Stegostoma tigrinum: one gene and its partners. The protein of the gene in region 1 interacts with the protein of each later gene in a pairwise test. Links are inferred from orthologs where the notes say so. Each region holds a gene or a part of one and is shown in the gene's direction. Other genes may lie near its edges.

Evidence for each region. The genes of interacting proteins can lie anywhere in the genome.
Region 2: the proteins of cdc5l (region 1) and znf451 interact in a two-hybrid assay, tested with the Homo sapiens proteins (2 studies listed by BioGRID and IntAct). The link is inferred for Stegostoma tigrinum from reciprocal best matches to the Homo sapiens genes CDC5L and ZNF451.
Region 3: the proteins of cdc5l (region 1) and exoc7 interact in a two-hybrid assay, tested with the Homo sapiens proteins (2 studies listed by BioGRID and IntAct). The link is inferred for Stegostoma tigrinum from reciprocal best matches to the Homo sapiens genes CDC5L and EXOC7.

Annotation. Positions count from the first base shown.
Region 1 is NC_081357.1:76,296,200-76,304,084, reverse strand, and holds the start of cdc5l (cell division cycle 5-like protein), read left to right. Parts: upstream 1-4,600; 5' UTR 4,601-4,767; coding exon 4,768-4,812; intron 4,813-7,885. Other genes in the region: protein downstream neighbor of Son-like, read right to left, coding at 1,589-1,901.
Region 2 is NC_081357.1:92,286,622-92,294,746, reverse strand, and holds the start of znf451 (E3 SUMO-protein ligase ZNF451), read left to right. Parts: upstream 1-4,992; 5' UTR 4,993-5,197; coding exon 5,198-5,258; intron 5,259-6,000; coding exon 6,001-6,083; intron 6,084-8,125. UniProt on the Homo sapiens protein: E3 SUMO-protein ligase; has a preference for SUMO2 and SUMO3 and facilitates UBE2I/UBC9-mediated sumoylation of target proteins. Plays a role in protein SUMO2 modification in response to stress caused by DNA damage and by proteasome inhibitors (in vitro).
Region 3 is NC_081375.1:4,041,439-4,048,860, forward strand, and holds the start of exoc7 (exocyst complex component 7), read left to right. Parts: upstream 1-4,289; 5' UTR 4,290-4,359; coding exon 4,360-4,419; intron 4,420-4,654; coding exon 4,655-4,720; intron 4,721-7,422. UniProt on the Homo sapiens protein: Component of the exocyst complex involved in the docking of exocytic vesicles with fusion sites on the plasma membrane.

The DNA of each region.
Region 1 (7,885 bases):
TTTGTAGCAACTGGGATGGGCATGCATTTCTAGTATCTGAATCTTGTGCTGAAGATGCATACAGTATGAGCATTCAATTGCACTCTTATTATTCACAGCAGTTATGATAGGGATGAGTTCTTGCTGGGCCATTTCGGAGGATAGTTAAGAACCATATCTGTGGATGTGAAATCACATATAGGATAGACTAGATATGGACAGAAGACGTTCTTCCCTAAAGCACATTAGTAAACCAGATGGATTTCACACAAAACAGCAGCTTTGGTTGTCACCATTACTAATAAGCTTTTAATTCCTTCTTTTAAAATTTAATTTATGAATTAAATTTGAATTCCCCATTTACAGCAATGGGAATGAAATTGATGCCTGTAGAACTGGAATACTAATCTAATTGCAAAACCACAATGCCACCATACACTTAAAGGCAAATTTCATTTTCTGATCAATCTTAATTGGATACAATGTTTCTTGATGCTGTTTCCATGATAATTCTGAATTAGTTCCACTATGCTTGTCAAATAACATGCCATAATAAAAGTAGAGGAAATATTCCTAGAAACTAATCTGACAATTAAGCCAGAGTACACGTTGGCTGATATTTGGCCAAAACATCTGGAACCACATTAGAATTTCGTACAGGGTAGACAGATTTATAAGAAAGACATTCAAATCAGATAAAAAAAAACTATGGTTGTTAATAGTTTTAAAACGCCAATAGCATTGAACTCTGCTATACTCAGTAAGCTTTGTATAACAGCTCATGAATATCAGTGCTGACTAATAGGTCTGTCACAGTGCAGACTATGCTGCCACTGGAAGAATGGCTTTTTTTCATTTCAAACTCCACCTCACTATCTTCGTTAAATAACTAGGGCAGTACGTTGCACTGCATTGTGCCATTACTGCAGAATGTGCAACCTAGCTGAGAGTATCCTTAGGGGAATTTCTGCGAAGGATATGCCATGGTGGGGGTGGGGTGAGGTGATCTTCCTTTTTTTTCGCCATGCCTCTTATGAGATTTTTTGCTCGACCCACTAACGGACGTCGAAAAAAAAGGAAAGCATTCCAGATTAGCACTCAAATATTTCCCAGTCATCAAGTGTCAATGCTCCTGAGATGCTGCTTGGCCTGTGTTCATCCAGCTTCACACGTTATTACTTTCCTGTTTTCTCAGTAGGGAACGGCACGATGGAAGAAGCTAAAATTAAACCAGCTATATCCAGGACCCATTTGAAAAACACAACGTCATCACGAAATACTCAATAAAAACTAGCGAATTATATAACAGTAACACAGTTGAAGAGTTCAGATTACACTGTGAACAACAGACTGCAGCTCAGGCACTTCAAATGGAAATCTCCACGTCTGTGTAATTGATTTACAAGGGAGCGAATTCTGTTTAAGATACAGACCCGACCGCTAAAATCTCCCTAAAATTAAGCGGATTACTTTTTATCCACAAATAAAACGATCAGAATTTTCAACGTTTCTGACATTTTCGACGCTAAATTCAACAGGGATTATAAACTTTTGACCTGACCACTAGAGGCGGGGTATGTCCATCTGCTGCTGCATGTGTGGAGTGTACCTGGTGGGGTAATCTTGGCACCCAGCAGCAGGAGCCTGGCCTGCTCCTTCTTGCGGGACCTCTCGACCTTCACGGGGAAGACGATGGGCACATTGTTCATGTAGGTCTTCTTGCCTCCAGCAAAGTGGGCGTCGCAGACTTTGTGATGGGTTTTGGGCTGCCACACGCTGAATTTTCTCTCGTCCAAGCGCGACAGGTTTCTGATCCAAACGCCGCGCAGCGTCTCGTCCTTGGGGAAGACGTGAAAGGAGAGCTCCTTGTTCTTGAGTGTGTTGTTGAAGCAGCCCGGCACACAACAGTAGGTGCCCACCATGGTCACCGGGAACTGGCCTGGGTCTGGGGAAGGGGAGGAGGGTCAGTGTGGAACTCACATCCCAGCCTGCACCGCGGCAACGCCGGCGGAACATGCGCACTGCGTCGCCGTCCTCACACCAACCTCCCCCACCAAACATTCCAGGGCATCATGGGACTCGTAGTTTTCTTCCACCTACCACCCCCCCACCCCAAAACTGTCTGAAGTTCATCTCACCACTATGACCCACACAACTTTAAAATTTACCCCAGTCGACGTGCAAAAACACGAAGAGTTTCAGGGAAACACATACACTAAAAAGGGGAACATGATTTAGGCAGCATTGGATGGAAATGAAAAGTTAATGTAAAACAGAGAACATAAGATGCTGGAGATCTGAGACACATAAAGATAGAAATTGCTGGAGAAGCTCAACAATTCTAGCAACATCTAAAGAAAAACCAAAAGTCTTAACGTTTTGAGTCCAGTGACCAGGTGTCAAGAAACTTTAATGGTTGATACAGTTGTTAGACAGGCTGGCAAGATGGGCTGAACAGTGGCAAAAGGAATTTAACCATGAAAAGTGAGGTGTGATACATTTTAAGAGGACTAACAAGGCGAGGGAGTACATGTTGAATGGTAGAGCCTTAAGAAGTACAGAGAATCAGAAGAATTTTGTGTGCATAACCACAGTTATTTGAAGGCCGCAGGACAGGTGGATATGGTGCTTTAGAAGATTTAAGGGAGACTTGCTTTATTAGTTGAGACATTGAGTACAAGAGGAGGGAAGTAATGGTTGCTGTGTATAAGATATTAGGTCACAGATGAAGTAGTGGGTACAGTTCTGGTCACCAGACTGTAGGAGGAATATGATTGTACCAGAGAAAACTTGTGTTGAAGGTTCATGAAAAATATTATTAAAAATGGCAAGTCTGCACTGGAGGAAAATGGAACAAATAGAGAATGCTGGAGAAACTCAGCATGTCTAGCGACATCTGTGGAAATAGAAACTGAGTTAATGTTTTGATTCTGGTTTGACCATTCTTCAGAAATGGAGACAGAAAGCAATGAACATGCTAAGGCTGAAAGATTAAAAGCGAAGGCCTGATGGCGAGAAGAGCAGAACTTCATCAAAATGGGCATATCTGGAAGTAAGGTGGCAGTGAATTATACACTCGAAAGGACCAGTTCTGAGGAAGAGCTCTGGGTTGAACATGACTGAGAGCTGAGATGGTACGGTGGCTCAGTGGTTAGCATTACTGCCTCGCAGTACCAGGGGCCCAGGTTTGATTCTAGAATTTGGTGATTGTCTGTGTGGAGTTTGCACATTTTCTTATATCTGCATGAGTTCCCTCTTGGCGCTCCAGTTTCCTCCCACAGTCCAAAGATGTGCAAGTTAAGTGGATTGGTCATGCTGAATTGCCCATACTCTCCAGGATGTGCAGGCTAGATGGATTAGCTGGGGGAATTGCAGGGTTACAGAGATAGGGTAGAGGGCTGCAATGCTCTTCAGAGTGTTAGCATGGACTTGATGCGCCGAATGATGTGCTTCCACACTGTAAGGATTTATGATTATATCCTATGATTCTAGGAAGAGATTCAACAGGATGTTACCTGGACTGGATTAATTTAGCTATGAAGAGAGACTGAGAAGGCTGGAGATATTTTCCTGAGAGTAGAGAAGGCTGAGAGGGGACCTGATTGAGGTGTACAAAATTGCAAGAGGCATAGATACAGTTGGTTCAAAGAAGCTTCTCCCCTTGTTAGATGGACAATAAATTTAAGGTAAGGGACAGGAGATTTAGAAGGGATTTGAGGAAACTTCTTTCAGCCAAAATGTGGATGTGTATCAGCATGACTAATACTGCTGGGACAGGTGGACAATAGGTGATGAGGCCTCCTGGGCAAGTGCACAGGTAGAGCAGAAGCCATGCATATTTAATGCTGTGGGAGGTTAGGGGAAAGAAGGATGAATGAGTGAAGATGTTGAAGGCTATAGTAAAAGTGATGGAACTTGACTCTTGTTGCACAGTCAGTGTAGTAGCAGAGTGATTGAATTTAAGGTAGCAGAAAGTAGAGCAGAGCACTTACGCTGTCAGAGCAATGAAGGTCAGCGTTCCTCTATACCACTGAGGCCGCAGTGACTTAGACCAAGCTGCCAGGAACTACCCTGGAGCTTGGTAAGAGAACCCTTTCAATAAACCTGCCTCAGCAGAAATTTATGCTCTTCCTTCACAGAAACACCAATCTTGACTAAGCAGCCTCAGTATGAAAAAGTTGCCCACAAGTCCCTTTTAAATCGTTCCCCTCTCAACTTTGAGGGCATTGGTTCTAGGTGAGAAGGAGAAGACTTCAAAGGGACGGAGGGATAATGTCTTTACACAGAGGATGGTGCATGAATGGAATTAATTGCCAGAAGTAGTGGTAGATGCACTTATACAGTTACATTTATAAGACATTTTGACAGCTACGTGAGTAGTAAAAGGATATGGGTCAAACGCAGGGAAATTAGGGTAGATTAGTTTGGGAAAACTAGTCGGCATGGACGAGTTGGATCGAACGGTCGTTTTCCCACGTTGCATGACTACCCACAATCAAAGATTTGTTTATTTACGATGATGCCGTTGCAAAGTGATCTGTCCGGTGTAAAGTTGAGAGGAGTGGAATGGGTGCAGTGTCAGTCAGCCAGGCTTGGCGGCGCTCTTGGTGGCGGCAGCGGGCCACCTTGGGAGCGCTGTGTTGTCCTTGTCACCTCATCGCCCGTTGCTGCACCTAGGGCCGGAGGTTTATCACCGGAGTTGGGTTCAAGTTTGGTTAAATAACTGAGCTCCTTCCTAACCGTTTGCAGCTGCCGAGGATTCCCTCGGACCAGTCGCTGACTGCCAGGATGCCGCGGATAATGATTAAAGGAGGTGTCTGGAGGAACACGGAGGTGAGTGGTGAGGCCTGTGTGACAGGCCCGGAGACTGGGGTCTACCCCTTTCCGCCGGGCCCAGAGACGGGGTTTCCTTCCCCCTTGTCCGAGCTGATGCTAGCATTTCCCGGTTGCATTTCACTGTTTTCACCGTGCGACGTCAAGTATTTTGATCGTCTTTTTCCCTTGCCACGGTCAAAATTACACCAAGTTCTTGGGTTTCTTGTTAGTTGGCGGCTTGATGCAGTAAAAATTTCTCGTGATTTAGAAACTGATTAATGTCGCTCTTTTAGGGACAGTTTTTCAAACGGTCAGAAATTGACCTTGGAATCACTGACTCCTTTGCTGTGCACCAAACCAATTTCCGCATCAACTTAAGTCCTTCAATGGTAACTTTTCTCAATTTCTTCCCCCTCACCTGAGGTATGGTGACCTGCAGATGAACTACCACCAATCGTCTTCTAATAAAAGCACTGCCCTATGGTCTGCTAAGACAACGGCGATTTTTACCTTTATTACATTTCATCTTGCGCGGTGGTGCGGCTTGAAGTTCTTTTTCACACACCTGCATGTTCTTCGAATCTGTGTGATCTGTGAATACTTGAAAATGGGTGCCAAAAGTTAAGTTTTACTTCCTTGCACTGACACATCATAATGCTAAAGAAAACACTGACGGTTAGAGTTCTAAATCCAGGATGATCAATTGAATTATAAAATCCATGAATCTCAAAAAGTTAGCATCCATGTTCGGGTGGATAATAGTGAAGGCGAATAGAATGTTGATTTTTTTTTAAATTCCAAAGGGAATGGATTATAAAAGTGTGGGTGTTCTGCTAGAAATATTCACCGCAACTAGAATGTTGTGACGTTATCGTTAGGAAAGATATATTAGCATTGGAAACAATATGGAGAAGGTTTTGTAGGCTGATACTGGATATGGACGGAATGTCTTATGAGGAGAAGTTGAATAAAGTTGGGTTTGTACTCACTGGAATTTAGAAGAATGAGACGTGACATTTATTGAAACAAAATCATTCTTAGAGGACTTGACGGCAGATACGGAAAGGTTGTAGCGAGTTTTGAGAAGATTTGTAGCTCAGGTTGAGGTTCTGGATGTGAGATTGCTCGCTGAGCTGGAAGGTTAGTTTTCAGACGTTTCGTCACTTTTGTTTTATTTGAAAAAATATACTTTATTCATAAGATGTACAAAAAATAAAACATATTTATACACCTACCCTGTCATGCAAGCCGCTCTGGGTTACCCAGGGGGTACATACATCAACTAAAAGGAAAAAAAACAAAGCAAAGAAAATACCCCGGCAGTTGTCACCCTGCACAGTCCCAGTTGGCCCCCTGACCAGTTGGGGAAGGCGCCAGCTGGGCCCAGGTACCAGATAGGGCCCTTTTTTCTATTCTGGACGAGGGGTTTCATACCGTGGTCTTTCCCCACCGCGCCTTGGCGGCGGCTGCCCCAAGCTTTAGCGCATCCCTCAGCACGTAGTCCTAGACCTTAGAGTGCGCCAGTCTGCAACATTCGGTCAGAGTCAGTTCTTTCAGCTGGCAGACCAAAGAGCGTCTTTCACCGCATTGATGGTCCTCCAGGCGCAGTTGATGTTAGTCTCGGTGTGCGTCCCAGGAAACAGCCCGTATAGCATGGAGTCCTGCGTCACGGAGCTGCTCGGGACGAACCTCGACAAATACCACTGCATCCCCCTCCAGACCTCCTGCGCATAGGCACACGCCAGAAGGAGGTGATCAACAGACTCATCCCCGCCGCAGCCACCTCGAGGGCAGCGTGCGGTGACGCAGAGATTCCGGGCATGCATAAAGGATCTCACTGGCAGAGCCCCTCTCACCGCCAGCCAAGCAATGTCCTTGTACTTGTTTGAAAGTTCTGGCGATGAGGCATTCTGCCAAACGACTTTGGCAGCCTGCGTGGGGAACCACACGATGGGATCCACCCTCTCCTTTTCCCAAAGGGTCTCGAAGATACTACGTGCTGACCACTGCCTGACGGCCTTGTGGTCAAAGGTGTTTCCTTTCAAAAATTTCTCCACGTAGGACAGGTGGTACAGAACAGTCCAACTACTCGGAGCGTTCCGCGGCAACGAGGCCAGGCCCATCCTTCGCAATACTGGGGACAGGTAGAACCTCAGTAAGTAGTGACATTTGGTGTTTGCGTACTGAGGATCTATGCACAAAGGTAGCCGTCAGGGCGAGGGTGGCGTTCGGTACGCCCTTTCCCCCCCATTTCCCAGGTCTTTGTACATGGTGTCCCTGCGGACCCGGTCCATCCTCGACCCCCAAATGAAGTGGAAGATGGCCCGGGTGACTGCAGCGGCGCAGGTCCAGGGAATAGGCCAGGCCTGCGCCACATACAACAGTGCCGAAAGCCCCTCGCACCTGACAACCGGGTTCTTACCCGCGGTGGAGAGGGACCGGAGCGTCCACCTGCCCAGCTTCTGCTTCAATTTGGTGATACGCTCCTCCCAAGTCTTAGTGCACGCCCCAGCTCCACCAAACCAAACACCCAGCATCTTCAGGTAGTCCGTCCTGACAGTGAAGGGGATGAAGGAGCGGTCATCCCAGTTCCCGAAGAACGTGACCTCGCTCTTACCCCTATTGACTTTGGCACCCGAGGCCAGTTCAAACTGGCCGCAGATGTCCAACAGCCTACTCACCGAGCGACGATCGGTGCAGAAGACGGCGACATTGTCCATGTACAGGGAGGTCTTGACCTGAAGGCCTCCGCTGCCTGGGATAGTCACGCCCTTCAGGCTCACGTCCTTCCTGATGGAGACAGCGAAGGGCTCCACACAGCACACGAACAAGGCAGGAGAGAGCGGGCAGCCCTGCCTGACTCCCACCCGTTGATCGAGACTGTGCTAACGATGTTGGCGTAGAGCAGCCGGATCCAATTGCGGATGCCCTCCCCGAACCCCAGTTTGGAGAGGACGTCCCTCATGTAAGCATGAGAGAACCTGTCGAAGGCCTTCTCCTGGTCCAGGCTGACGAGGCAGGTGTCCACCCGCCTGTCCTGTATGTAGGCGATCGTATCCCTGATGAGCGCGAGGCTCTCAGCGATCTTCCT
Region 2 (8,125 bases), about 16 Mb from region 1:
ATACACACTGGCTAGATCTGAACTGGGAGTGCACTAGTGTATAGTTCTAGGAGCCACTTTAGACAGTGTGTGAAAAAATGTTTACAGGAATGCCTCCAAGGATGAGACACTTCAGTTATGCCTTGTCTCCTTGGATGCTGCCTGACCTGCTATGATCTCCACCATTTTTGGTTTTCACTTTGGTTACGAGGATAGGTTGGAGAAGTTGGGACTGTTCTCCTTGGAGAGTAGAAGGCAAAGTGGAGATTTGATGGAAGTTTTCAAAATCATGAAGGGTTTGCACTGATAGGTAGGCAGAAACCTTTCTCACTCATAAATGATTCAAGAACCAGTGGGCACAGTTTCAAAGTGCTTTGCAAAGGAAGAATGTGAGGTGAGAAAAAACATTTTCATATGGCGAATAGTTAGGGTCTGGAATGCACAGCCTGCAGGCGTGATGGAGGCAGGCTCAATTAAGTATTCAAGAGAGCGTTTGATTTTAAAAAAAGAAACAACATGCAGGGTTATAGGAATAAGACAGGAGAAAAGCACTAAATTAACATGTACAGAGATTACAATGGGTCAAATGGCCTCCTTCTGCACTGTCATATTTCTGTGGCTGTGATTCTGTGAACTTCTTCTAGTGCAGTAACAGCCATCCAAACATCAAAGTGGAAAACTACCCAGCTGTGAGCAAAAACTGCTAACAAATGCAATCCAGGTAATTATTGTCACCAGTCCACTCTCAATCATGAGCAAAAGAAGGTGTCTTCAACAGTGTCATCAGTTGCCATTTACTCACCAACAATCTATTCACCAATGCTCTATTTGGATTCTGCCAGGAGCATACAGCTCCTGATTTCATTATAGTCTTTGTTCAAACAAGCAAGAAATGAGGTGAGACGGAGAGACAGTTGAAGAATTGAAATTCATGACTGAAAGGCCATGTGTGTGAGCTAAATAGAGGTGTCCTGCAAAGAGATCATTCAGTGTGCAATTTAGACTAGAAGAGATCTACAGATTTGCAATGAATGCAAGTAGCTAAATTGAAAGAAGTGAAAGTAAATGACCGTTTCCCTTCTGAGGGAGGGGCGGGGGGGTGTGGTTCGGGGCTTTTCCTGTTGATAATGGAGGAGTTCTGAGGATGGGTGTTACATGCGCTGCACTTGCGTGAAACTATGCTGTAGGATAAAGGTTCTTGTGAAGCAGTGATAGTGTCCCTATCTCTCAGCTACGAGACCTGGGTTTAAGCCTCACCTGCTCCAGTGATGTGTAAATAATATCTCTGAACAGGTTGATTAGAAAATGTTTTATGCTTTTGGAAACGGAGGAGACGTGAAGATGGCAAAGGATTAAACAAGGACCTCACCAAGGGAACAAATCCATTAGAATTCTGAAAGTGGAGAGCAAGGTTGTTGCCGACGTAATACTGGACGTAGTGGAAATGGCAGAAGACGAGCTGTTGTCATCAGATGCTAGAAGAGTAGAAGGCGACCATTCTAGTAAATCACTTCTGCACCTTCTGAACATTCTCTATGAAGTTTAGATATCAGAATTGGAAACTATACTGCAGATGAGGCCTAACCAATATTTTCTGAAGATTTCGCTAACTTCCTTGCTCTTGTACTCTATGCCTCTCCTTTCTGAAGTCAAATATCTCCTATGGAATTTTTAAAATAGCCTTCATGACGTGGCTTGCCATCTTCAAAGGCTTGTTTCTGCATCTTCCTTAAAACTGTATTCTGAGGGAAAGCCACAGACTGCTTCTTTTTCTCAAATTTAAAGGGTGTGAACAGTTAAACCACTTTAGATCCAAACACTTATATTTTCCAATAAGTGTTTTCTTCAGTTTTGAATGTATAATGGCATCTTTCCCAAAGAGAACAAAAATTCTCTAAATAGCAACTAAGTATTGAAAATAAGGAAACAGATTTCTTTTTGTTTTCCAAAGCCTGTTAGTGAAAGAATTCCAACGGCTGGTGGCTGTCACTTTTTGTTTCCCCGACTTCAGGCTGAGGATCCCTAATGGTTCACATATTCTCAGAGATACCATGAACTATATTCAGCAGAAGGGGCCAAACTCCACAAAAATTAAGGGAGATGAGTTTTTCTCCCACTCCTACAAAGGAGCCAGCAAAGGAGGTCAGGTCTTTGTCACTGTCACTGTGTTATAATTTCATATAGCTACTTGTGCCTGCAAATCTTGTTCTTTCATACAAACGCAGCACTTTTTTACTTTTCCATGTCATGGCCATTTCATTTTTAGAAATTTATCAAATCTACAACACTTCCATGCCCTGCATTCCAGATCCTGCTGATTCACTACATAAAAGTAATTCTCATCTCTCATTCTCGTTATTTTACCAGTTATCATGAATCTTCACTGTCTGTCCCTGACTCTATTAGCGGAAGCAGTTTCTCCTCATCAACTCTTTCAAACCTCCCTTAATACTGAGCATCCCCTATTTATCATTTATCCTTCAATGCTCATTCTCTAGCCTCAGTGATGAAGTTCCTCAACACTGGGAGCATTCTGACAAATCTACTCTGCATCTGTGTTTCTATGGTACAGTGTTTGTGTTAAATGAGTCTGTATCAATGTGTCTCTGACCAGGAAAATTAATCACCTGAAAAATGCACAAAGCCCTTGCCCATGTTTACACTCTGCAATCTTTGCTCATGTTTGGTGGTTTGCAAAAGAAAGAACACGCATTTAAATGGTGCCCTTTGATTCTTTCTTTGGGAAATTCCAAAGTATCTTAGGAACATCTTTAAACATTTCTAACCATATAAAGATGGAAGCAAAGCAAAATTTCACTCAAAGACTATGCTGCATTGTCGGAAATGTTGTCTGCCCTTTCAGGGGTCATAAAATATCCCACAGCAGTATTTAAAAGTATGGTGAGTTGTCCCAATGTCTTATTTCATTCGATGCACAGATGCCACAAATCAGAAAGGTCCACCATCATGCTGTCAGTGTTTGTGACAATATGGCATGCCCTCACAACTGTGCCAGGTGAATCAAGCAAAATGTAATAGTCTGAAATGGGGAATGAAGGTACCTCCTTCAGAAACCAGGCTGCAACCCTGAGGAAGTTCTGAGGAAGGGTCACCAGACCCAAAACATTAACTCTGATTGTTTTCATCACAGATGGTGCCAGACCTGTTGAGCTTTTCCAGCAACTTCTGTTTTTGCAACCCACCAAACCTTGGCTAACATTTACAATAAATACTTTAGATATCATACTCTTCTCCTTATGAAAGTAAATTGAAATACCTCAGTAAATTAATTCATTAATTAAACTAGACTGACATGCAACAGATAATTGGAACTGCAGATGCTGTTGAATCTGAGATAATAAGGTGTGGAGTGGATGAACACAACAGGCCAAGCTGCATCAGAGGAGCGGGAAAGCTGACGTTTCGGGCCTAGATCCTTCTTCAGATCTTTTTCCCCCCACGTTCTTTCATAAATTTCTAATAGCAAGGGAGCTAATTTCTTTTTATATGTGAAATATCTAACTGCACCACCCCTGGTTAGCATTGATGCGGACACACCTGACGTAGACATTGTGAGTCAGACATCCCCTCTGTTTACAGTGGAGATAACAGCGCACGCACAGTGAGCAAGGGGTGGGAAAGCAGTGCGGGCTGACGCTGTGCGGCAGCACGGGAGAGAGTAGCGCAGGCGCAGTGACCGGGGGAAGGGGGAACAGCAACACAGGGTTAGATGGTAGCGCAGGCGCAGTGAGCAAGGAGTTAAGTAATTTCGCAGGGCACGGCGGCACTGCAGCCGCAGGCGCAGGAAAGGGGCAGCATACGGAAGCGCATGCGTAGTGACCAGATGCCGTTGAACAAGGTAGCGCAGGCGCAGTGACCAAGTTCAGGGGAGACGATGGCGCAGGCTCAGTGACTGTGTGCGGTGGAGACGACAGAGCATGCGTAGTGACTATGTTTAGGTTGTGAGATTCGGCGGCGCAGGCTCGGTAACTCTGTGCGGGCTGATGGCAGCACAAGGCGTAGTGATCATGTTTAGTGCGTAAGGGACGGCGGCGCAGGGGAAGTGACCACGCTTTGTTCGAAGACGACAACGGCGCAAGCGCAGTGTGGAATTAGCACTTCGAGCGGTCTGGCGCGTTAACATCAATGTGAGGAGTGGGCTGGCGAGCACAGGCTAGTTGTGATCACGTCTGAGCTCCTTTTTTTCCCCATTCTGCCCATTGGTCTTTCTCATTCATTCGTTAACCACTGTGTAAACTGTGGTCTAAATACAATGCAGAGAAGAGTGGACATTCGGGCAGCTGAAGCAAGGCACTGAGTCCCGGAGTGTGCTGTGGGGGCTGGTGAAGGAGGAAGTTGGCGCTGTGCTGGAGGTTGGTGTAAGTGTAAAGCTGAACTGGGAAAGGAATGCTGGATTGCAAGAAGACCAGGTGCAGGGGGCGGGGAGGTTCAGTATTTTGACTTAAAAATGCAGGTGATAGCTTTACCATTATAAGGCACTTTTATCAGACAACTTATTTGTAAATAATGACTCATTTGAGTTTCTGTAATTTGTTCCAAGTTTTCCGAAAGCTTTGCTTCCTCCAACTGTAGTACCTCCTGTGCATCCCTCACATTCAGCACCTCATCAATGGTGGTTGTACCTTGATCTGTTCATACCCAAGGGCCTTGTAAAAGAACTTGGGGTGTTAAACATTGGAGACTGATTGCACTGGCTTGTATTTCTTGAAGCGTAGAAAGCAAAATGACTGATGAATAAATGTTCAAAGAAAAATCGGAAATTTTGCTAATACTATAAAAATTTTATCATCAATTTTAAAATATTTTATCATCAATTTTAAAATATTTAAAATGATTAAAGGAGTTTAGTGGGCCATTCAGAGGTATTGCTGAGAAGCAGTTCTCACAGAGGCGATGGAAATTTGGAGTTCCCTGCCAAAGAAAGCTATTGATGTGAGGGGTAGACAATGAAAGATTTCTAAACCAAGGTAGTTTTCTTTATTGTTTAAAGTATTAGAGTTGCAGAATCAGGTGAGTAGACATTGGCGTTAAAATGCAGGTCAGCATGTATAGTGTTATTGAAATGTAAAGCAGGCTGAATAATCTTGTGCTCCTGAGATGCTGCTTGGCCTGCTGTGTTCATCCAGCCTCACATTTTATTATCTTGGAATCTCCAGCATCTGCAGTTCCCATTATCTCTGAATAATCTTGTTTTCCCATGAATGTTCTGGCAAAGGATCAAGCCTGTGGTCTGTTTGAGAGAGAGAAAGCTGAAGGAGGTAAGGAACGCATGGGAAGTAATTGAGTTACCTGAGATGATTTTTCACAGCTCCCGAGAATAGTGCATGAACATGAAGTAGGGATGGTGATGGATTAGTCAAAGGCTTTGGCTAATGCTTTCAGGACACTGGTTCAAGTCCCACCATGGCAGCTAGTCGGATATACTAATTTTGATTAAGAAATTTAGTTAATTAATAGTAGAATTTAAAGCTAGTCTCAATATTGATGACCAGTTGTTGTAATAATTCATCTGGCTCACTAATGCCTTTCAGGTAAGGGAATTTGGTATATTAAACTGGCCTGACACACAAGTAATTCCAGATGCACAACAATGTACTTGACTCTTAACTGCCCTCTGAAGTGGCTTGGCAACTGTACATTGGACCAACCAATCCAGAAAAGTCATAACAAATGGACTACAATGGTTCAGCTAGACTGCTGAGCATCATTGTCTCAATTAGGAATGTACAGCAAACACTTGTCTTGCCAGTGACCCCCACATCTCATGGAATAAGTTTTTCAAAAGGTTGCTTCAAGGAACAGTTCGGCAAACATTCAAATTTGCCATCTCTGTGAAGCAATTTTCAAGTGTCAACATCTCTTTTTAAGCTTGCTTTAGAAATGCTGGCCGAGAAATAGAAGACAGAATTTTTGACAAACCTGCGAAATAACTCTTTGATTTGTTTCTCAGTGTTTGATAACAACTAGCCAAATTTTTTTTTGTGGTCTTTTCCCATGCAGATCTGTTTTCTATCATGTCGTCTAGTGATGGGTTGTTACCAGCAGAAAAACGTGAAAGTGAAGATGAAGTGATATTTGTGAGCGTATGTATTCTGATATTGCACTGTACTTCAAAATTATATGTTATTCCACAAAGTTGTAACTTTTTCCCTCTGGTCTGTTAGCCTCATGACATTCTTAAGGAGAACTTTCAAATTCATGAAGGACTTAATGCAGCTCTTCCCCTGTATGATACAATACCCTTTGGGGAGCGGCACAGGCTGAAGGGCTGGGATGGTGCAGTGCAACTGTTTTTTTTAATTTCAAAAGTATGCTTTTCATAAAACAATCTCTTTGTATATATACATTGTTGCAAATGCATTTCAGTTCTGTGCAATATCATATCAGGTAAACAAACAAACATTTGAGTTTGATTTTATCCAAACAAACCAAAGGAATCTCTGACATGTGTAAGGTTATACTTACATAGATTGAGGCACTAGGACTCTTAGGCTGGCAGAAATGAGTGTGGTGTTAGAGATTTGGAGCTGCAGGAGCACAGCAGGTCAGACAGCATCTGAGGAGCAGGAAAGTTGATGTTTTGGGTTTGGACCCTTCATCAGGCCCAGACCCAAATCTTAGACCTTCCTGCTCCTCAGATGCTCTCTGACCTGCTGTGCTCCTCCAGCTCCACATTATATGGACACTGACTTCCACCTGCGGTCCTTTCTGTCTCCTACTGGAGCTAGATGTCATTCTCCTTGTCTTCTCTAAACTACCTTCTGGGAGTAGAACATCTCACTGTATGTTAATGACCAGAATTGGACACGGTACTTCATGTCCAATTTGATCAGCAGCCTATACCTTGTCATTTTGACAATAATGCATAAAAACTTCTCTCTTCCTGCAGAGATGGCTGATCTTTTTGTTGCATTTTTGTAATTTATGCGATTGAAGGACAACATAATATTTTTTCTTGCCAGTTTGTTGATAACCAATTTCTCTGAGATTATGGTTTGATTTCAGTGAAACTTGGCATACAGGGTATGGTTAAAAGAATAATTAGTCTATCTTTGTGAAGATGTGGATGCAGACCCTGGAATTTTTGTGTAATTGATCCACTAACATTGAATGATGAGACTAATTAAAGTTTTTATAGAATGTTATTGATGTATTTTAGAATATTGTGGAATATCAAAATTTGAACAGGGTTTTCAGAGCATGTTGTTGGATATTTTCTTAGTTAAATTGGGGTTCTCAATACAAAGAGTAATTTTTCTCAGAGCATCAACCAACCAGAGAAACACTTTAAAAAAAAAGCTGCATAATTGTAAACTTTGAGTTAATACACTGCAGAGAAGCTACTTGATCTAGTGAGTGTCCCATTCACTTGTTTTTTGTTTTGATTTCTATTAATTGTATTGAATATTTTTTCTAAATGGGTCGTTGCACTTGATAACAAGCTGGAGAGCTGGGTGAACACAGCAGGCCAAGCAGCATCAGACCTGCTGTGTTCACCCAGCTCTAAACCTTGTTATCTCAGATCCTCCAACATCTGCAGTTCCTACTGTCTCTGTTACACTTAATTTTGTTTCTTCTCCCTGTCCTATTGACCACCAGTCACTTAGTTGATGGATATTCTTTGAAATTCCTGTTGCCCTCAAAACCTGGAGTCTGTTGACGGATTCCAGAAGAATGATTATAGAAGCTTTGGTTTCACATGAGGCAGGTTGAATAGCCATCACCTACGTATGTCAGCAAATCAGAACTGTTGGGTATATTTTCACTTTGGATTCTGTGCATTGCTGATTTGTTAAGCCAGCAGATATTACCTTTGAAAAGATTGGAATCATGTTCAGTTGACAGGAGTGCATAACCAGAGTACTAACTTACAACTCAACCATTTCAAAACGACTTGAAGTGTTGGGTCTCCAGGAAGACACCAGTTCATCCACAGTTTTAATCTAGCTTTCATCTTGAAGCCACACCTTTTGGATGCCTGAAACTCAGAGAAAATTAATAATGTTATAGAGTCATACAGCACAGAAACAGATGCTTTGGTCCAACTAGTCCATGCTGAACATAATCCCAAACTAAAGCAGTCCCACTTTCCTGCTTTGAGGATATGTCATGGATGAGCGTTGAA
Region 3 (7,422 bases), on another chromosome or scaffold:
TCGGCTCTTTGATTGTCCCCAGACCTTCCTGTAAAACTACCAAGTGTTTAATTAGAACTTCACTGGTGCAGCCATTTTCTAATTGAAAAATGTTGAGTCAATTAAAGTGAATCATTCTCAACCAATTTCACCCCAATGTCATTTAGAACATAGATCAGTACAGCGCAGTACAGGCACATTGGCCCATGATGTTGTGCCGACCTTTTACCTTAATCCTAAGGTCTATCTAACCTCCACCCCTACCTTATACTATCATCCATATGCCTATCTAATAGCCGCTTACATGCTCCTAATGAGGCGGAATCCACTACCCGCTCTGGTAATGCATTCCATGCCCCGATCACTCTCTGAGTAAAGAACCTGATGTCTCCCCTATATCTACCTCCACTCACTTTAAAACTATGCCCCTCATAATAGCTACCTCCACCCTAGGAAAAAGTCTCTGACTGCCTCCTGTATCTATACTTTTGATCATTTTGTACACCTCTATCACCTCTCATCCTTTGTTGTTCTAAAGAGAAAAGCCCTAGCTCTCTCAACCTTTCCTCGTAAGACCTTCCCTCGATTCCAGACATCTTGATAAATCTCCCCTGCACCTTTTCCAACACTTCCACATCTTTCCTGCAATGAGGCGACCTGAACTGGACACAATACTCCAGATGTGGTCGAACCAGGCTTTTGTATAGCTGGAGCATAAATTCACAGCTCTTGAACTCAATCCCTCTATTAATGAAAGCTAACACACTATTTGCCTTCTTAACAACTCTGCCCGAAACGTCAGCTTTTGTGCTCCTAAGATGCTGCTTGGCCTGCTGTGTTCATCCAGCCCCACACTTTGTTATCTACCCACCTGGGTGGCAGCTTTCAGGGAACTGTGGACATTAACCCCAAGATCCCTCTGCTCCTCCACACTGCCAAGAATCTTTCCGTTAATGGCACGGTGGCTCAGTGTTAGCACTGCAGCCTCACAGCACCAGGGACCTGGGTTCAATTCCCGCCTCAGACGACTGTCTGTGTGGAGTTTGCAGATTCTCCCCATGTCTGTGTGGGTTTCCTCTGCATGCTCCGGTTTCCTCCCACAGTCCAAAGATGTGCAGGTTAGGTGGATTGGCCATGCTAAATTGCCCATAGTGTTTAGGGAGGCTGGGTCTGGGTGGGATGCTTCAAGGGACGGTGTGGATTTGTTGGGCCGAAGGGCCTCTTTCCACACTGTAGGGAATCTAATCTAATCTTAACCCTGTATTCTGCTTTCAAGATTTCCTTTCCAAAATGAATCACCTCACACTTTTCAGGGGTAAGCTCCGCCTGCACTTCTCAGCCCAGCTCTGCATCCTTTCAATGCCCCTTTGTAACCTAAAACAGCCCTTTGCACTGTCCACAACATGACCCACCTTTGTATCATCTGCAAACTTACTAATCCACCCTTCCACACCTTCATCCAAATCATTTACAAAAATCACAAATAGATGACCCAGAACAGACCCTTGTGGTACACTATTTATAACTGAGCACCATGTTGAATATTTTCCGTCAGCTACCACCCTTTGTCTTCTAAGGGTCTGCCAATTCTGAATCTAGTCTGCCAGATTTCCTCCTATCCCATACCTCCTTACCTTCTGCAGGAGCCTACCATGGGGAACCTTATCAAACGCCTTACTTAAATCCATGTATACCACATCCACTACTCCACCTTCATCCACGTGCCTTTCCAAGTTATCCTAAATTCTATCTCTCAGAGACCTTTCCAATAATTTGCCCACCACCGACCTGAGACTAACTTGCCTGTAATTTCTGGGGTTATCCTTATTCCCTTTTTTGAACAAGAGAATAACATTTGCCTCTCTCCAATCTTCCGGCACCATACCAGCGGAGAGTGAGGACGAAGAGATCACCAAAGGCCCTGTGATCTCTTCCCTCGCTTCCCATAGAATCCTTGGGTAAATCCCATCAGGCCCGGGGGACTTATCAATTTTCAACTTCCTCAAAATTCCTAGCACATCTTCCTTACTAACAGCAACCTCCTCCAGCCTACCAGCCTGTTTCACTCTGTCCTCTTCTAAAACTAGGTCTCTCTCAGTTGTGAATGCCGAAGAAAAGTATTCACTCCTCCTATCTCTTTACGATCCATGCACAAATTCTCTTTACAATCCTTGATTGGCCCTACCCTTTCTCTGGTCATTCTTTCATTCCTCACATAGGTGTAAAAAGCTTTGGAGTTTTCCTTGATCCTGTCTGCCAAGGTTTTCTCATGCCCCCTTATAGCTCTCCTAAGCCCTTTCTTCAGCTCCCCACTGGCTAACTTGTATCCCTCTAGAGCCTTTTCCATTTCTTGTTTTCTAAACCTTACAGAAGCATCCTTCTTCCTCTTAACCAGTCATTCAACACTCTTGAGAACCAAGGCTCTCTCACTTGACCGCATCTTCCCTGCCTGTTAGGGACAAACATATCGAGCACAAGCAGTATGCATTCCTTAAACAATCTCCACATTTCAATAGTACTCTTTCCTGACAACATCTGTTCCCATTTTATGTTACCCAGTTCTAGTCTAACAGAATTGTAATTACCCTTCCCCCATTATAAACCTTACCCTGCTGTATGTACCTAATCTTTTCCATGACTATTGTAAAAGTAACAGAGTTATGATCACTACCACCAAAATGCTCTCCTACCAACAGGTCTAACGCTTGGCCCGGTTCATTGCCAAGCACCAAATCCAAAGTAGATGTTCATTTTGCATTCTTTCAGAGGTGTTTTTGATTAATTGTTATGTCCATTTTCCTGGTCACCATGAAATTGCTCAAGTTGCTAAACGTTCTGGCCTCTTCTAATTTTGGTCTTTTCAGCAGACCATTTTTTAAAATTGCTTAACCATTGGTGGCCCTGGTACCTTCAATTTGCAGAAACATAAAAGAGTTGTAATGTACAAGGTCATTTGCTCAGAAAAATGTAGTGCATTCTTTCCGAATTTTTGGCCCATCTTTGACAGCAGGATTGAATGAGTCAAGCTTCCCAAATAACAGCATGATGTCAGAAAAGCTAACACTATCTAAAAGGCAACTATGATGAGTAAATACCTTCAAGAGTGTGTTATTTCATTGTTCCTCCTGAAATAACTCTATACCGGCGAGTACACAATCACCAAATCACCCTTTATTTATATGTGGGAAGTCCTTGACTTTTTGTCTTATTCCACAGATGAGTTTTCCCTGCACTTTCTGTTTTCATTTCAGATCTCATGCATCCAGTTTTGGCCATTACACCAGATTGGATTCACCACATTGTTTCTCACCTTGCTTTATTTTCTTTAACAAACAGCTTACAGGTGTTCATTTTGCATTCCTTCAGAGGTGCTTTTGATTGATTGTTATGTCCATTTTCCTGGCCACCATGAAATTGCTCAAGTTGTCAAATGTTCCGACCTCTTCCAATTTTGGTCTCTTCAGCAGACCTTTTTTTTATTGCTTAACCATTGGCACTGGTACCATCAATTTGCAGGAACATAAAAGTGTTGCGATGTAGAAGGAGACTATTTGGCGCATTGTGTTTACACTAATTCCTCAAAGGAACATCATTAAGCTGGTCTCATACTTCCCCCCATACCCTTGCACATTATTTCTATCCAAACAATCATTCAATGCCCTTTTGAACGCCTCGTTGAACCTGCATCCAGCATGCTTTCAGACAGTAACTACTCACTGTATGAAAATAATGATTTTTCTCCGTTGCATTTGCAGCAGTTAAGTGGGCCTTGACCTTTGGAATTCCCTTCCTAAACTTCTTCATGTCGCTCTTTCTTGTCATTTATGATGCTTTTTAAATTCTACCTCTTTGCGTGAGCTTGTGGTCGTCAGCTGGCCGAACAGCTCCTTGAGTGTCTTGGGATCAAGCGCCTGCCTATTTATCACCCCGGTGAAATACTCCAGTTTTCAGGCTGAGTAAATTCAAGTCACACAATCAGCAGTTCAGCTTGACCCTTCAGAGAGGTAAGCAACCCTGGTGATTATTTGACAAATCACAAACATGTGAGGCTCCAAATAAAAGGACTGATGTCTTGGGGCAATTTTTCCCAAACATTTCCTGGCTGACAGAATGTTAACATCAGTAAATGATTTTCTGAAGAAGGGTCTAGGTCTGAAGAAGCCTTCCTGCGCCTCTGATGCTGCTTGGCCTGCTGTGTTCATCCAGGCCCACACCTTGTCATCTCAGATTATCCAGCATCTTCAACTCTACCGTCATCCCAGTGAGCTGTTCGTCTCCATAGCGACAGACCACACCCCCCGCATCCCCAGGCCGGACGTGACGCAAAGGAAGTTTGTCCTGCTGACCTGAGGCCTGTGCGGAGAGGCTGCGAGGCGCAAAATGATTCCTACAGAGGACGCGTCCGCCAGGAAAAGGCATATCGAGGAGAAGCTTCAGCAGGTAAATGGCCGGGGTAGCCGTGGAAGAGGAATGGATAGTTGGAGTGCCGTGTGCCGGTCTCTGTCTGCAGTCCCCGTCCAGGGGTCTGGTCGGGGCGAAAGCGGGTGCGATGTGGTGTTATAAGTATTGCCAACTGCTATCCTAATGATGGTCTGATGCCTTTGCATTTACTATTAACTAGGAAGTCAAGTGTCTTTGATTAGATGCATATTTGTGACTTTTCTTTAATAACCAGGAGCAAGAAACCTTGTCGTTCATAAGAGAAAGCTTGGAGAAAAGTGACCAACTGACCAAAAATATGGTAAGTTCATCTTACTTCAGTCGTAGGTCAATGTTTTGTATATTAGAAGCAGCTGGTAAGGTGGACAGTGATAGGGGTTTGGTGGGGTGTCAGAAAGGGTGTTACTACACTACAGACCCTGATTTTATCATGTTTTGTGCATGTGTGGGCTAAATGGCAGTGTGTCACACTGACATATTTCCATTTACTAAAAGAGAATATCATGTTTGCTCCTGGATTGTCAGAGATGATGGTGTGTGTACTACTGTTTATCTCCAGCTCCTGGGGTAAGAAAGAAACTGGGGTTTGCACAATCAACTGTTTTACTTGTCTGTCTGGGTGGTGGAGGTCAAGGGTTTGGAAAGTGGTGTTGAAAAAGGATCGGTGAGTTATTATGCTTCATCTTTTGGATAACATGTACTGTTACTACTGTGCATTGATAGTGGGAACAGTGAAAGGTGAAGATGGTGGGCTGGAGTACCAGTTAAGCTGCTTAGTCCAGGATGGTTTTGAGATTCTTGACAGTTTTTTTGTACTTGTGCTCATCCGTGCAAGTGAGGAGTATGCCATCATACTCTTGCCTTGTGTCTTGTAGATGATGGACAGGATAGGGGAGGTGATGGCCTAGTATTAATGCTGGACTGTTGACCCAAGAACCTAGGTAATGTTATGGGGACCCAGGTTCAAATCTTACCATGGCAGATTGTGGAATTTGAATTCAATGAAAACCTACAACTGAGAATCTAGTGATGGCCTTGAATCCATTGATGATTGTCAGGGGAAAAATCCATCTGGTCCACTAATGTCCTTAGGGAAGGAAACTGCCTTTCCCTTACCTAGTCTGGCCTACATTTGAATCCAGACTCTCAGCAATGTGGTTGACTCCTAACTGCTCTCTATGCAATTAGGGATGGGCAGTAAATGCTGGCTTAGCCAGCAATGTCCTCATCCTTTGAAAGAATAATAAAAGTTGGGGAGTCTGAGTTACTTGCAATAAAATTCCCAGTCCCTGTCGTCTTTTGTGCTTCCAGTAATACGTGGCTAGTCCAGTTCAGCCTGTGGTCAGTGGGATCCTTTACAATATCGTCAGTGATTTCATTTGTGGTAATACCAAAGGGAGGTGCTTAGATTCTATCTTGTTGGAGTAGTTGCATTTGGAAGGCAATGAGTGTTAATTGCCATTAGTTAGCTCAAGCCTCACATTGTGCAGGTCTAGTTGCATTTGAACATAAACTGCAAGTATTTGGGGTGTTGTGAAGTGTGCTGAACACCGTGCAATCATCAGAGAATGTCCCAATTTCTGACCTTATGATGGAGGGAAAGGCATTGAAGCAGCCAAAGGTGATTTAGCTTAGGACGTTACATGAGGAACTCCTGTGTGTGATGTGAATGAAATGTATAGATGTTTCAAAGTCCTCAACCCTATCTGGTATTTGAATACTGTAGAGTGATGCTGTTGGGCTGGATGGGATTATATTTTCACCATTTTGAAATATTTCAAATTGTGTTACATGTAAAATATTTTTTCTCTTTATCATCTCTTTTGCCTGATGAGCTTTATTCTATTTTTAAAACAGGTCTGCAGGATTTCACGTTTGTGTTTATAGAGGATTGTCTCATTAGATTGGAGATAATGGGAACTGCAGTTGCTGGATAATCTGAGATAACAAAGTGTGGAGCTGGATGGATACAGCAGGCCAAGCAGCATCTCAGGAGCACAAGAGCTGACGTTTTGGGCCTAGACCCTTCATCAGAAAGAGTCTAGGCCCAAAATGTCAGCTTTTGTGCTCCTCTGATGCTGCTTGGCCTGGTATGTTCATCCAGCTCTGCACTTTGTCTCATTAGATCACTTTTTTTCTCAAGCCAGCTTCCACTTTGGAATTAGACTTGCCAATGATAAGCTCAGCTGGGACCATTACATTTGGGGGCTCTTGCAGGATTTGAATTCAGTGGGTTTAATAGGAATCTGTGTCTTTTTTAAAGTAATCGGTACGTGAGGCTTCTGCATCTAAAATGGCTGTGTTGTGATGAAGTATGTTGCATGGAATTTGAAGATTATTTTGAGTGTTATTGGGTTTATTTGGTAGTATTTGAAATCAAATCAGGATCTCTCAGGATGAGATGCTTTGTGTTTATCCACCCTGTAAAAAGGTAAAGTCATCATCGTCTTACCAGATCATAGGGCTGCACTGTGATAAGAGAGGCATGACCGGTGATGGTTTAACCTGAGGGTCACCACATCTCAAAGGGAAAAATCTGAGAAGCATAGTCGTTCAGAAATTCAGCTGCTGCAGAAATTGAACTCACGTTGTTGACATCACTGCATCGCAAACAAAACTGTCCAGCCAACTGACCTAACTGGTAATATTTATCCAGAATTGGAAGAAAGCAAGCCAGAAATTGGGATGCGATGGCTGGAATTAGTTAAGGTACAGTTGAAAATGAAGAGACTTGAACTAGAAACACACCCAGGAAGCTGGAAAGTGAGGAGAAAGAAAATCAAGAGTAATGGACATAGTTTAGGAACCTTGAAATTGAAAGGGAGAAAAACAAGAGGGGTATAGAATTAGTAGAACTCAACTCCTAAAAGATAAATAACTTTTATAGCATAAGTTGGCCAAAGAACAACTTGGAGGAAAGGAAGAAAGGAGGAGGTTGATGAGATTGGAGGGTGATTCTGACTAGAATGAATGATTTGCTTGGTGCCCACATTTACTGCGGTT